2 linked regions of the Oryzias latipes genome follow. The protein of the gene in region 2 purifies or fractionates together with the protein of the main gene of each other region. This does not show direct contact. Links are inferred from orthologs where the notes say so. Each region holds a gene or a part of one and is shown on either strand. Other genes may lie near its edges.

Evidence for each region. The genes of interacting proteins can lie anywhere in the genome.
Region 1: the proteins of apolipoprotein B-100 (region 2) and vcp purify together in Homo sapiens (affinity purification with western blotting, with the first as the bait; 3 studies listed by BioGRID). This does not show direct contact. The link is inferred for Oryzias latipes from reciprocal best matches to the Homo sapiens genes APOB and VCP.

What each region holds. Positions count from the first base shown.
Region 1 is NC_019867.2:13,579,643-13,584,956, reverse strand, and holds part of vcp (transitional endoplasmic reticulum ATPase), read right to left. Parts: intron 5,190-5,314; coding exon 5,078-5,189; intron 4,988-5,077; coding exon 4,815-4,987; intron 4,740-4,814; coding exon 4,597-4,739; intron 4,511-4,596; coding exon 4,380-4,510; intron 4,297-4,379; coding exon 4,165-4,296; intron 4,015-4,164; coding exon 3,912-4,014; intron 3,764-3,911; coding exon 3,630-3,763; intron 3,438-3,629; coding exon 3,302-3,437; intron 2,242-3,301; coding exon 2,129-2,241; intron 1,927-2,128; coding exon 1,762-1,926; intron 1,659-1,761; coding exon 1,536-1,658; intron 1,454-1,535; coding exon 1,241-1,453; intron 1,142-1,240; coding exon 833-1,141; intron 643-832; coding exon 487-642; intron 375-486; coding exon 220-374; intron 8-219; coding exon 1-7. UniProt on the Homo sapiens protein: Necessary for the fragmentation of Golgi stacks during mitosis and for their reassembly after mitosis. Involved in the formation of the transitional endoplasmic reticulum (tER).
Region 2 is NC_019880.2:24,953,540-24,959,756, reverse strand, and holds part of apolipoprotein B-100, read left to right. Parts: intron 1-3,124; coding exon 3,125-3,246; intron 3,247-3,357; coding exon 3,358-3,731; intron 3,732-3,894; coding exon 3,895-6,217. UniProt on the Homo sapiens protein: Apolipoprotein B is a major protein constituent of chylomicrons (apo B-48), LDL (apo B-100) and VLDL (apo B-100). Apo B-100 functions as a recognition signal for the cellular binding and internalization of LDL particles by the apoB/E receptor.

The DNA.
Region 1 (5,314 bases), on a different chromosome or scaffold from region 2:
GGGAAACCTGAAAGGCAAGAAAACTTATTACCTACTTTTGTGAAACCCAACAATTTTCTAATATTGTAAACAGATAATACAATCCTTCTGAGGCCATTGTCGTATTAGGATGCCCCCCTAAACAAAATGCAGCTTTGGCTGCTGTTGACTTATTTGCTCATTAGAAGTACTTCAGCATCTTCCACATTGGAAAAACATTCCAATTTCACAGCTACAGACCTGAAGCTTCCAAATCCACGGCTCTGCTGCAGTGTCTGAGCAAACATCTCATATTTGCGAATATCATTGTCACTGACAGAACGGCGAGCAAATCTCATTGCTTCTTCAAAGTGGTCTTTCCTGATTTCTGGAACAGGATCGTCCTCTTCAACTTCCTGTGAGGGCATGACGGCACAAAAAAACAGGATGGAAATGGTTAGGTCCACAAAGAATCCCAAGCAGTGCAGATGTTCATTCCAGGATAAGCAGCATTTGAACAGTCCTGACCATAGCAGATGGGTTGGTCTGCCTTTCCCTCTCTCTGCGGATCTCACTCTCAATGCTCTCTCTGATGGCCAGTTTGCACGCCCGCTGGCAGATCTCGGTAAGATCTGCTCCAGAGAAGCCGTTGGTCATCTTAGCCAGGAAGTCCAAGTCCACATCCTAAATTTTGTAAAACTATTAGTTTATTTTTTCCAAGTGGAGAGAACATTTGTGCAATAATACCAAAGTTGCTTTTACATTGGATTTGAAAACAAATGCCACAGTTGGTGGACCTTCAGAAAAATCTACACAACTTTTGTTACACAGATAAAGCTTCATACATCCTGGTGGTGGGAGGAACAACTGTCACCTTGCTGATGGGACTCTTGCGGAGGTTGGCCTTCAGGATGCTGATCCTGCTCTTCTCATCGGGCAAGGGGATGTAGATGAGCTGATCGAGGCGGCCGGGTCTCAGAATGGCAGGGTCAATGATGTCTGGTCTGTTTGTGGCTCCGATGATGAAGACATTCTTCTTGCTCGACATTCCATCCATTTCCGTCAGGATCTGGTTGATCACGCGGTCAGCTGCTCCACCGCCATCACCAACGTTGCCGCCACGAGCCTTAGCTATGGAGTCAAGCTCGTCAAAGAAGAGAACACATGGAGCAGCCTGACGAGCCTGGAGACAAGACAAAAACCAAACAGGTTTATTTCGTTTTACAACTTTATGTATGAATTCTTTAAAAAAAAAAAAAAAGGGGGGGGGGGGGTCGCTTACCTTGTCAAATATCTCCCTGACGTTGGCCTCAGACTCTCCAAACCACATGGTGAGCAGCTCAGGTCCTTTGATGGAGATGAAGTTTGCCTGGCATTCGTTGGCAATTGCTTTGGCCAGCAGAGTCTTACCACAACCAGGGGGACCATAGAAAAGTACACCTTTGGAAGGGGTCATGCCAAACTTCAGGAACTTGTCTGGATGCTCCACTGGGTACTGAATTAAGGGAAGGAGGATGCACATTTACCACAGTCCCAGACATTTCAATCCCGGCACTTTCATATGATGTTACACATACCTGGACCAACTCCTGCAGCTCTCTCTTAACATCTTCCAGACCTCCAATATCATCCCAGGTGATGTTGGGAACTTCAACAATCGTCTCCCTCAGTGCTGATGGGTTACTCTGGCTCAGAGCCCACTGCAAGACAGCACTGATCGGGTTAGCATTGATCCAGCCCAGTGCTAGCTGTGTGTACTAATGGACTACTATATGATTTCAAACGATTCCATTACAGGTTTACCTTGAAGTCATCCATGGTAACAGCAAGTGAGTTCATGACTTCAGCATCGATGGTCTCGTCCTCAAGGTCGATCAGGTCCATCTTCTTTCTAATGGCCTGGAGAGCAGCCTCAGAGCAGAGAGCAGCCAGATCTGCACCTACATGACCATGGGTCTCATTGGCAACCTGCAAAAGACAATCAAATTCACTGTAGAAACCAAAGTTACACCACTATGTAAAAAAAACCTGCGATAATGATTAATTACATTTTAACTTAAAATATTCACAAACTAATAGAAAAAAGAAATTTATCATTTATCAAGAAAAAGGCATCTACTTGAACATGTTGTATTTTGGACAAAAATAAAGGACTTTTGAAGGCACAAACCTGTTCCAAGTCCACATCATCAGCCAGTTTCATGTTCTTGGTGTGAATCTGCAGAATCTCCAATCTGCCGGTTGCATCAGGGATGCCAATATCCACTTCTCTGTCAAAACGGCCTACAATGGAAAGGTGTGAAAATAAAATTGGATCAATGAAAATGAAGAAGTTTACCATCTATCTAAAAACCTAAAATTTATAAGATCATCAACTTAAAAACTTCTAACTTAATTCATTAAATTTGTTGAATTTCTTTACCAGGCAAAACATTGACCTCCATTTTAAAAATTGGAATTCTCTTTTTTTTCTTTAAATCAGAATATGAAAAGTTATTTAATTGAAAATTTATAAATTTGAATTGAATCAAAATATATTTATTTGAATTGAAATAGACTTTTTCATCCTTACTGGGATGACAATAGTTTCTAAAGTGCCAGCAAGAAATTTTGTTTCAACATGTTAGCAGCTTAACTTGCAATGCATTTTCAAACAAAATGAACAAGCCACAGGATTTCTTAAGAAAACCTGGTTTGGAAAAACAATTTGTTTCATTAACAAGAAAAAGTTTCTTATTAAAATGAAACTTAAAAAAACCCAAACATTTAGGAATAGAGTGCAACTTAAATTCTATGGTTGAAAGTAGGTCTGATGTTCAAAAGTCTTAACTGCACAGGATCATTTTAAGTCAACATTAGGGCTGCACGATATGAAGAAAACTCGCGATATGCGATATCAGTGATTAATATTGCGATAACGATATAATTTGCGGTATATAAACAATTAGCAAAACAACCAAAAATATTATTCCCATTCCATTACAACAGCTTAAAAATTATACTACAAATGACCCTTGTTGACATAGGAGGCGAACATACAACATAATAGGGCGCAATCCGATTAGTTAACAACGTGAAGGGGTCCACCTGATTGCTCAAATGCAGAAAGGGATACTTTCAATCCATTAAACACTTCAAGTTGCCATAAGATTGTTTGGCCACATCTAAGGTAACCATTTATTGCAAATTTGCTGTCTTTTGCGATATGCATATTGCACAGCTTGATATTGCGATAACAATAAATTTGCGGTATATTGTGCAGGCCTAGTCGACATTCAAATAATAAAAGGCTGCGGGGTGAAATCTAAAACGAGCGACCTAAGGGCTTCTAAAGACTGTTTACCAAATCTCCTGAGAGCCGGATCGATGCTGTTGGGTCTGTTGGTGGCAGCCATGACAATCACATGAGCTCTCTGTTTCAGACCATCCATAAGAGTCAGCAGCTGTGACACAATGCGCCTCTCCACCTCCCCATGAGTCTGAAAAAGCAGAGTGCCATTAGTAAAATGTGTCTATATTTTTTTTGTCTCAGCTAATCTAAAGCACATAGCCAATACAGTCACTAGTACATGAATTTAAAAGAGAAGATACACAAAGAATTGCTGTGCTTTCAAGGGCCTGAACCTAAAACTCATAGTGCACCGACAAAGTTACCACCCTACATTACTCACCTTCTCTCTCTTTGGAGCGATTGCATCAAGTTCATCAATAAAAATGATGGCAGGAGCATTTTTCTCAGCTTCTTCAAAGGCCTTTCTCAGGTTACTCTCACTCTCTCCAGCCAACTTACTCATGATCTCCGGGCCTGAAATAGAGAGAACGATACTTTAACAAGAAAATATCATTGAACACAACGATTCAGATAAATACAAGCATAGCCAATCAGAACACTGACTTTCAGCATCATCTCACCCATACTAGAAAACTTTACATCCAAACGGATATATTCATACCATTAATAAGAAAGAAGAACGCTCCAGTTTCATTGGCCACAGCCCTGGCGATTAAAGTTTTTCCAGTTCCAGGGGGTCCATAAAGCAGGATTCCACGAGGGGGCTTATTTAAAACGAAAACAAAAAATGTGGGGTGAGAGCTTTATTTAAAAAAAATTTTTTTTTAATTTTAAGTGTACAATCCCATTTATCACACACAAAACCACTTGTGTGATTCAGTACCATATTTTCCCTTCAGGTTAGCGTTCCTCACCTTGACTCCTATGGCCTTAAACAGTGCCGGGTGTCTGAGAGGCAGCTCCACCATCTCTTTGATCTGGGCCAACTGCTTCCTTACTCCTCCAATATCATCATAGCCCACTTCGTTCAGAGACTCTTCCTCATCCTAAATGTTTAAATATACAATGTTTAAGTTTTCCTTTATTTGGATTTCTTTCCCTCCCGCCAGGGCCAACATCTGAAACTCACCTCCCTCCGGATTGGCTCACCCTCACAATGAATGACTGTGTCAGGAGCAACGATACAGTAGGGGGAAGGATCTGTCTCAACCACCTTAAACTCCACTGCACGCATGCCTCCTCTGACCAGAAAGATGTCACCTTAAGAGAAATAATGGTTACATTGTGTTTTACAGTAAAATAGACTGGCATCGGTCTTTAACTTAACAATGGATCTCAGCAATCACCTTTGCGGATTGGCCTGTAAGCCTCCAAGAAGTATGGCTTCAGGTAAACCTCAAACAGGTTCCCAGTAATTCCCTCTACTGTGTCATCTATTGGAAGGACGTGAATCCTTTTCCCATATTTGACATCAGGACATGGCTGAATGCTGAGGGTGACATTAAAAACCATGTTACACATGGTACTGGGTGGAGATTAAAATACAAAAAAGCAGGCTTCTCACCTGATGACATCACCGAGACGGACTCTCAGATTGTTGCGCACCACCCTGTTCATGCGAACCTTTTCATCTGAACAGGTGTCATCGGAGAGTACGATGCACACAGTCTCTCGTCTCTTCTTTCCCTTCATCAGCACTGTGTCTCCACGGAAGAGCTGCAGCTCATCCATTTTGGCCTTGATTGAAAAGTAATGTTATTAATAATCTTTACACTTGAGAGAATTTGATTTTGTTGCTCTAGCTCAGAATAAACCTTTTTTTTTTACCTGAGACAGAGAGACTACACTGTTGTCCTCATTGATAGACTCATCAACAATCAGTCTGTTGGGCCTGCTCTTTTGTTTCAGGATTGCTGTTGATAAATCATCATTTTTGGAGCTGTGTTGACAAAGAAAAACCGTGTTAATATACAAATACATTTTTAAGTTGTCAAAAATCTCAACATAGAAAAATAAAAAGGGGCGATGTGAAGAATATCTAAAAGACCTAAAAATTATAAACTT
Region 2 (6,217 bases):
TTCAAAGTCATGAAAAGCTAACTATCAACAAGCTAACACAGCTCAGTGAATCAGAGGTTTTATTGAGCTGAATCATTCTCATTGTTGTGTATGCACAAAAAAAATCAAGTAAATATCACAACATTTACAATTTTTCAGGGCATACCAATAACCGATATTTCCGCTGCAACTTTGGCCAATAGCAGATATTTGCCGATACCGTTATTTGCATGTCTGGAGTAACACAACGTTTACATTTCCTTTGTGTGTCTTAGTAGAAATGCACAACTTCACTTTTGCTATTCAGTCACATTGTGCTTGACTTTTTTAACATACAGCAAGGGATCTCAAAGGAACAAGTATCACTTTAAAGCGTTGAAAATATATCTGAAAACATTTAGACAATTTGACATAACTGTAAACCATAAGGAGGAACATAGAGTGACATACAGAAGTGGAGGTAGGAGTACTCAGGTGGACTACATCCTATGTAGACGAGGTCATTTGAGAGAGGTTAATGACTGCAAAGTGGTGGTAGGAGAGAGTGTAGCCAGACAGCACCGCATGGTGGTGTGTAAGATGACTCTGGAGGTCAGGAAGAAGAAGATAGGGAAAACAGAAAAGAAGACCAAGTGGTGGAAGCTACAGAATGAAGAAACTTGTGAGGAATTTAGGCAGAAGTTGAGGCAGGTCCTGGGTGGTCAGGATGAGCTTCCAGAGGACTGGGAAACTACAGCAGAGATTATCAGGGAAACAGGTAGGAAGGTGCTAGGTGTGTCATCTGGAAAGAGGAAAGACGGTAAAGAGACTTGGTGGTGGAATGAGGAAGTACAGGAATGCGTCCAGAGGAAGAGGTTGGCTAAAAGGAAGTGGGATGTAGAAAGGACTGAGGAAGGTAGACAGGAGTACAAGGAAGCGCAGCGTAGAGTGAAGAGAGAGGTGGCAAAGGCCAAACAGAAAGCTTACGATGAGCTTTATGACAGGTTAGACACAAAGGAAGGAGAGAAGGACTTGTACAGGCTAGCCAGACAGAGAGACAGAGATGGGAAGGACGTGCAACAGATAAGGGTGATTAAGGACAGAGATGGAAAGGTGCTAACAACCCAAGAGAGTGTACAGAAAAGATGGAAGGAGTATTTTGAGGAGCTGATGAACGAGGAAAATGACAGGGAAAGAAGGGAGGAAGATGTGGTTGTTGTGGAGCAGGAAGTAGCAGAGATTGGAAAGGATGAGGTTAGGAAGGCTCTGAAAAGGATGAAGAGCGGAAAGGTCGTTGGTCCTGATGACGTACCTGTGGAGGTATGGAAGTGCCTAGGAGAGACAGCAGTGGAATTTCTAACAAGGTTGTTCAATAGGATTTTAGAGAGTGAGAAGATGCCTGAGGAATGGAGGAGAAGCGTTCTGGTCCCGATCTTTAAAAACAAGGGTGACATGCAGAACTGCAGCAACTATAGAGGAATAAAGTTGATGAGCCACACAATGAAGCTGTGGGAAAGAGTAGTGGAAGCCAGGCTTAGGAAGAAGGTGGAGATTTGTGAGCAGCAGTATGGTTTCATGCCCCGTAAGAGCACCACTGATGCCATTTTTGCTTTGAGAATGTTGATGGAAAAGTACAGAGAAGGTCAGAAGGAGCTGCATTGTGTGTTCGTAGATTTAGAGAAGGCGTATGACAGGGTGCCGAGGGAGGAGCTGTGGTACTGTATGAGGTCGTCTGGAGTGGCAGAGAAGTATGTCAGAGTAGTTCAGGACATGTATGAGAGAAGTATGACGGTGGTGAGATGTGCTGTAGGTCAGACAGAGGAGTTCAAGGTGGAGGTGGGACTACACCAAGGATCAGCTTTGAGTCCTTTTTTGTTTGCTATGCTGATGGACAGGCTGACAGACGAGGTAAGACAGGAATCTCCCTGGACAATGATGTTTGCGGATGACATTGTAATTTGCAGTGAGAGTAGAGAGCAGGTGGAGGAACAGCTAGAGAGGTGGAGGTTTGCTCTGGAAAGAAGAGGTATGAAGGTCAGTCGTAGTAAGACAGAATACATGTGTCTGAACGAGAGGGATCAAGGTAGAAGCGTTAGGTTACAGGGGGCTGAGGTAAAGAAGGTGCAGGAGTTTAAGTACTTGGGGTCAACAGTTCAGTGTGATGGGGATTGTGGAAAAGAGGTGAAGAGGCGAGTGCAGGCAGGTTGGAGCGGTTGGAGGAAAGTGTCAGGAGTGTTGTGTGACAGAAGAGTGCCAGCAAGACTCAAAGGAAAGGTGTACAAGACAGTGGTGAGACCAGCTCTGCTCTATGGGTTAGAGACGGTAGCAGTGAGACAGAGACAAGAGGCTGAGATGGAGGTAGCAGAGATGAAGATGTTGAGGTTCTCCTTAGGAGTGACCAGGTTAGACAGGATAAGGAACGAGTACATCAGAGGGATGGCTCATGTTGCCTGTGTTAGCGACAAAGTCAGAGAAGCCAGACTGAGATGGTTTGGACATGTTCAGAGGAGGGATAGTGGATATATTGGTAGAAGGATGTTGGAGATGGAGCTGCCTGGCCGGAGGGCAAGAGGACGGCCAAAGAGGAGATATATGGATGTCTTAACAGAGGACATGAAGTTGGCTAACGTTAGGGTAGAAGATGTTCATGATAGAGTGAGGTGGAAAAGGATGATTCGCTGTGGCGACCCCTGATGGGAAAAGCCGAAAGAGAAAGAAGAAGACAAAACTGTAAACCATAAGCTCCTCATTGCCAGGGATCTATTAGGAAGAACATGTATACCTATCAAGAATAAAATATTCCCGTAAACATTCCATTGCTGACTGTAACTGCCAACATAAGCTTCCCAGTGGCAGGGATCTATTAGGAACAAATATACATTTAAAAATAAAGTGAATCTGAAAACAGTCAGAACAATATCGGTAGATGTTTTTTATATTGGAACGATACCGATAAACTGAAATTATGCAAAGATCAGTCGATACCGATACTACCACCGATATATTGCTTATCCCTAGTTTCATCACCATAATCTTCTTATCTCTGTGTCATATTAACAGTGAGCTCTTTTATTGCCCAGCCTTATTCCAATGTCTGTTCTATGCAGCTTAAGAAAAGTTCAAACTGTTTTTTTTAACTAGAATTTATTTTACTGCCACTCTAAAGGCAGGTAACATTTGGCTCGATAAACTGACAGCACGCTTCCCGTCACTTGCAAGCCTTCGAAGTAAGAGGAGCATCTCTGATCTTACTTTGCCTGCTCTGCCTGAAAAACTGTTTTGGGAAGTGTAAGTGTTTTCAAGTATTTTTAAGCAACTTCATTTAGCCTGAAATGCTACTAGGCTCACTGTATTTAATGACTTTTAATTTTAATGATGTATTGTATTTTATGTCAACAGTGACAGTCTGTTCCGATATCAGTTCAACAAGGACACAAAGTTCATCTCCTTTCATCTCCCGTTTGGCGGCAAAAAGTCAGAAGTCTTGAACCTTCCAAAGTCTGTGTCTGTGCCAGCTATAGATTTAAAGCCGATAGGCTTGTACATCCCAGCCAAAACATATTTTCTTCCAACATTCACCATTCCACCTTCATTGGATTTTAACGCTCCTCTTTTCGGTCTGGGCGAAGTATCAATCAAGATCCACAGCAACCTTTATGACTGGGATGGCTCGATCTCCATGGGCAACAAAACTGTTGATATTCCCAGCTATGTTGTTAAGTACAAGTCCATAGCTCAGTCCCCACTGAGTCTGCTGTCCTACAAACTTGAAGGTAAACATCTTGTTTACTATTGTTTTAGCAAATTTAATGGTCTGAAAAGGAGAGATTAGGAACAAAAACTGTTATAGGAAAAGAGAAGTCAGAAACTACAGAGCTACATCTATGATATTTGTGCCTTTTTTTTAATTGTGTCTTTTTCCCTATTTGCTTTAAGGAATTGGAATGTTATTGGGGAGAGCTGATGAAAACCTCAAATATCTGCTCAGTACTTCTTTTAGCCACATCCTTTTTGACTCGAGCTTCAGTGCTGTGGAAACCTTCAGAGTAGGTAACAAATTCAATGCGGATGCAGATTACAGGATCAAGGCCTCTAGTCCGTTAGGCCTGAACGCCTCTCTGTCCTATTCCGCATATTCAACTTCCACTCTAAATTCAGATGAAGTATCAGGAGATGGTACTGTGGAGGGACATCTTAAACTTGGGTCGCTCTACACCAACACCTCCTTCACTCACAACTACAAAATACATCCACTGGCCCGAGAGGGACAAGGAGAGTCAATGTTTCGCTTTAACTCACCATTTATTGGATTTCAAAACACAATTCAAGGAGTCTATGCTAAGGCTGAGTTGAACCTTGTGTCAAGAACCAGCGCAGCGAGGGACACTTTCAAACATGTGGCAGAGCTAAAGTACAAAGATGCACAACTCATCCTAAAGTGCAACGCTGTTGGCACAGCCATGGGTAAATCATTAAGCAACCAAGTTGAGCTTGGCATATCAAGACAAATGTCCATGCTCAGAATTGAATCACAAGGAGATGATGACTCAAGTAGGATATATTCACTCATTTCTGGATCCCTGGATTCAAAGGGACTTGAAGTGATATCAGAGGGTTCCCTGATCTTTGATGCAGGCCGAGCATTCCATAAGGCATCTGTGAAGATTGGAAGAGATGGCCTTACCTTTGGAGGAACGAATAGCATTCAGTGCAGTCCTGTTACAGTGGAGAATGTCTTTGATGGTGTTTTAGACAACAGTGGAGCATCACTGTCATCCACAACTAAAGCCATGGCGGAAGAGGGCAGGGGAGAGGTGAACATTGAGGGTAAAATCACAGCTTCAGAGGCTACTATCCATGGTGACCTCAAGGGCTATGCTTATGATGCAGCTACAACAAACAACATAAAAATTGAACTGAGAAAAGGAACTCTGACCTTCACTGGAAATGCCAAGGGAACTTTGAGGCAAATGAGAACAGAACACAGCCACACACTGGCCCTTAGCCTGTGGAAACTCTCCCTTCGTTCCAAATCGGACAGCACAATCTGTGACGACATTTACTATAAAGAAGATACTAAAGTTGATATAAAGCCGTTTGTTATATTGATTGACATGAACAATGACCTTGTTTTTTATGACCTTAGTTTGTACAATGAAGGCCATATGAAGCTTGAGCCACTAAGGCTGGATCTCAGTGGAAGTGTAAAGGGAGGCTATGGGGAAGAAAACAACCTAAAACACATTTATGCATTCACCTATGATGATCTGTCTGGTTCTGTGAAATACAGTACATCTGGAACCATGATGAACACCCAATTAAGTCACTTCTGTGAGACAGAATTTGCTGGACTTGCTTCAATATCAAACTGTCAGGCCCGGTTAAATTCTGAACCTCTGCATTTTGATGTTTCCATTCGCACTATGGCCCTGCCCTTCAGTCTGACTATTGATGCTCTTGCCAACGGTGAAGGAGAAATACATCTACATGGGAAGCACAATGGGAGGACATCCAGCAAGCTGCTTGTTAAAATTGCACCACTTGTTCTTGCAATGTCACATGATTTCCAGGGATCAACAATGCACCGTCTATCACGTGGCGAATCTTCCTCTAGTTTAGTTAGCAAACTGGAAGGTCTCCTGTCTCCAAATGACCAATCCATGGATTGGAAAGTTATCTCCAACCTGGACAACCACGTCTTTGAGCAGAGCATCAGTGCCTACAACAATCCTGAAAAGTTTGGAATAGAATTTTCAGAAGTAATTCTAACAGATATTATCAGCAAACATAAGAAATCAAAAAGAGAAAGAGAAAAATTCAGTTTGGCTGGATTTTTAAAGTACGACAAGAACAGTGACTGTCATATCATTGAAATTCCATTCACCCAAAACTTTGCTGTTGCTTTTGAGAGGCTCAAGAACACCATTTTACAAGGCCTAGAATCCCTCCAAAAAATGATAAGAGATTTGGATGTTAATAAGTTAATCACCGACTACAGAGCCAGTTTAGACCAATTACCAAAAAAGGTTAAAAGCTTCTTGCAGGCAATGGACTTGGAGAACAAAGTGAATAAAGTGAAGGAGAAACTGGATTATTGGATAAAGGATTTTTCTATAACAATGGCTGACATGGAGCTTTGGATGAATAATTTGAAACAGAACACTGAAAACACAATAATAGACATTGCAACTAAAGTCCAAAATCTAATTTCTACAATTGAGGAGTACGCCAAGTCAGAGGAGCTAACTGAAAAGCTATC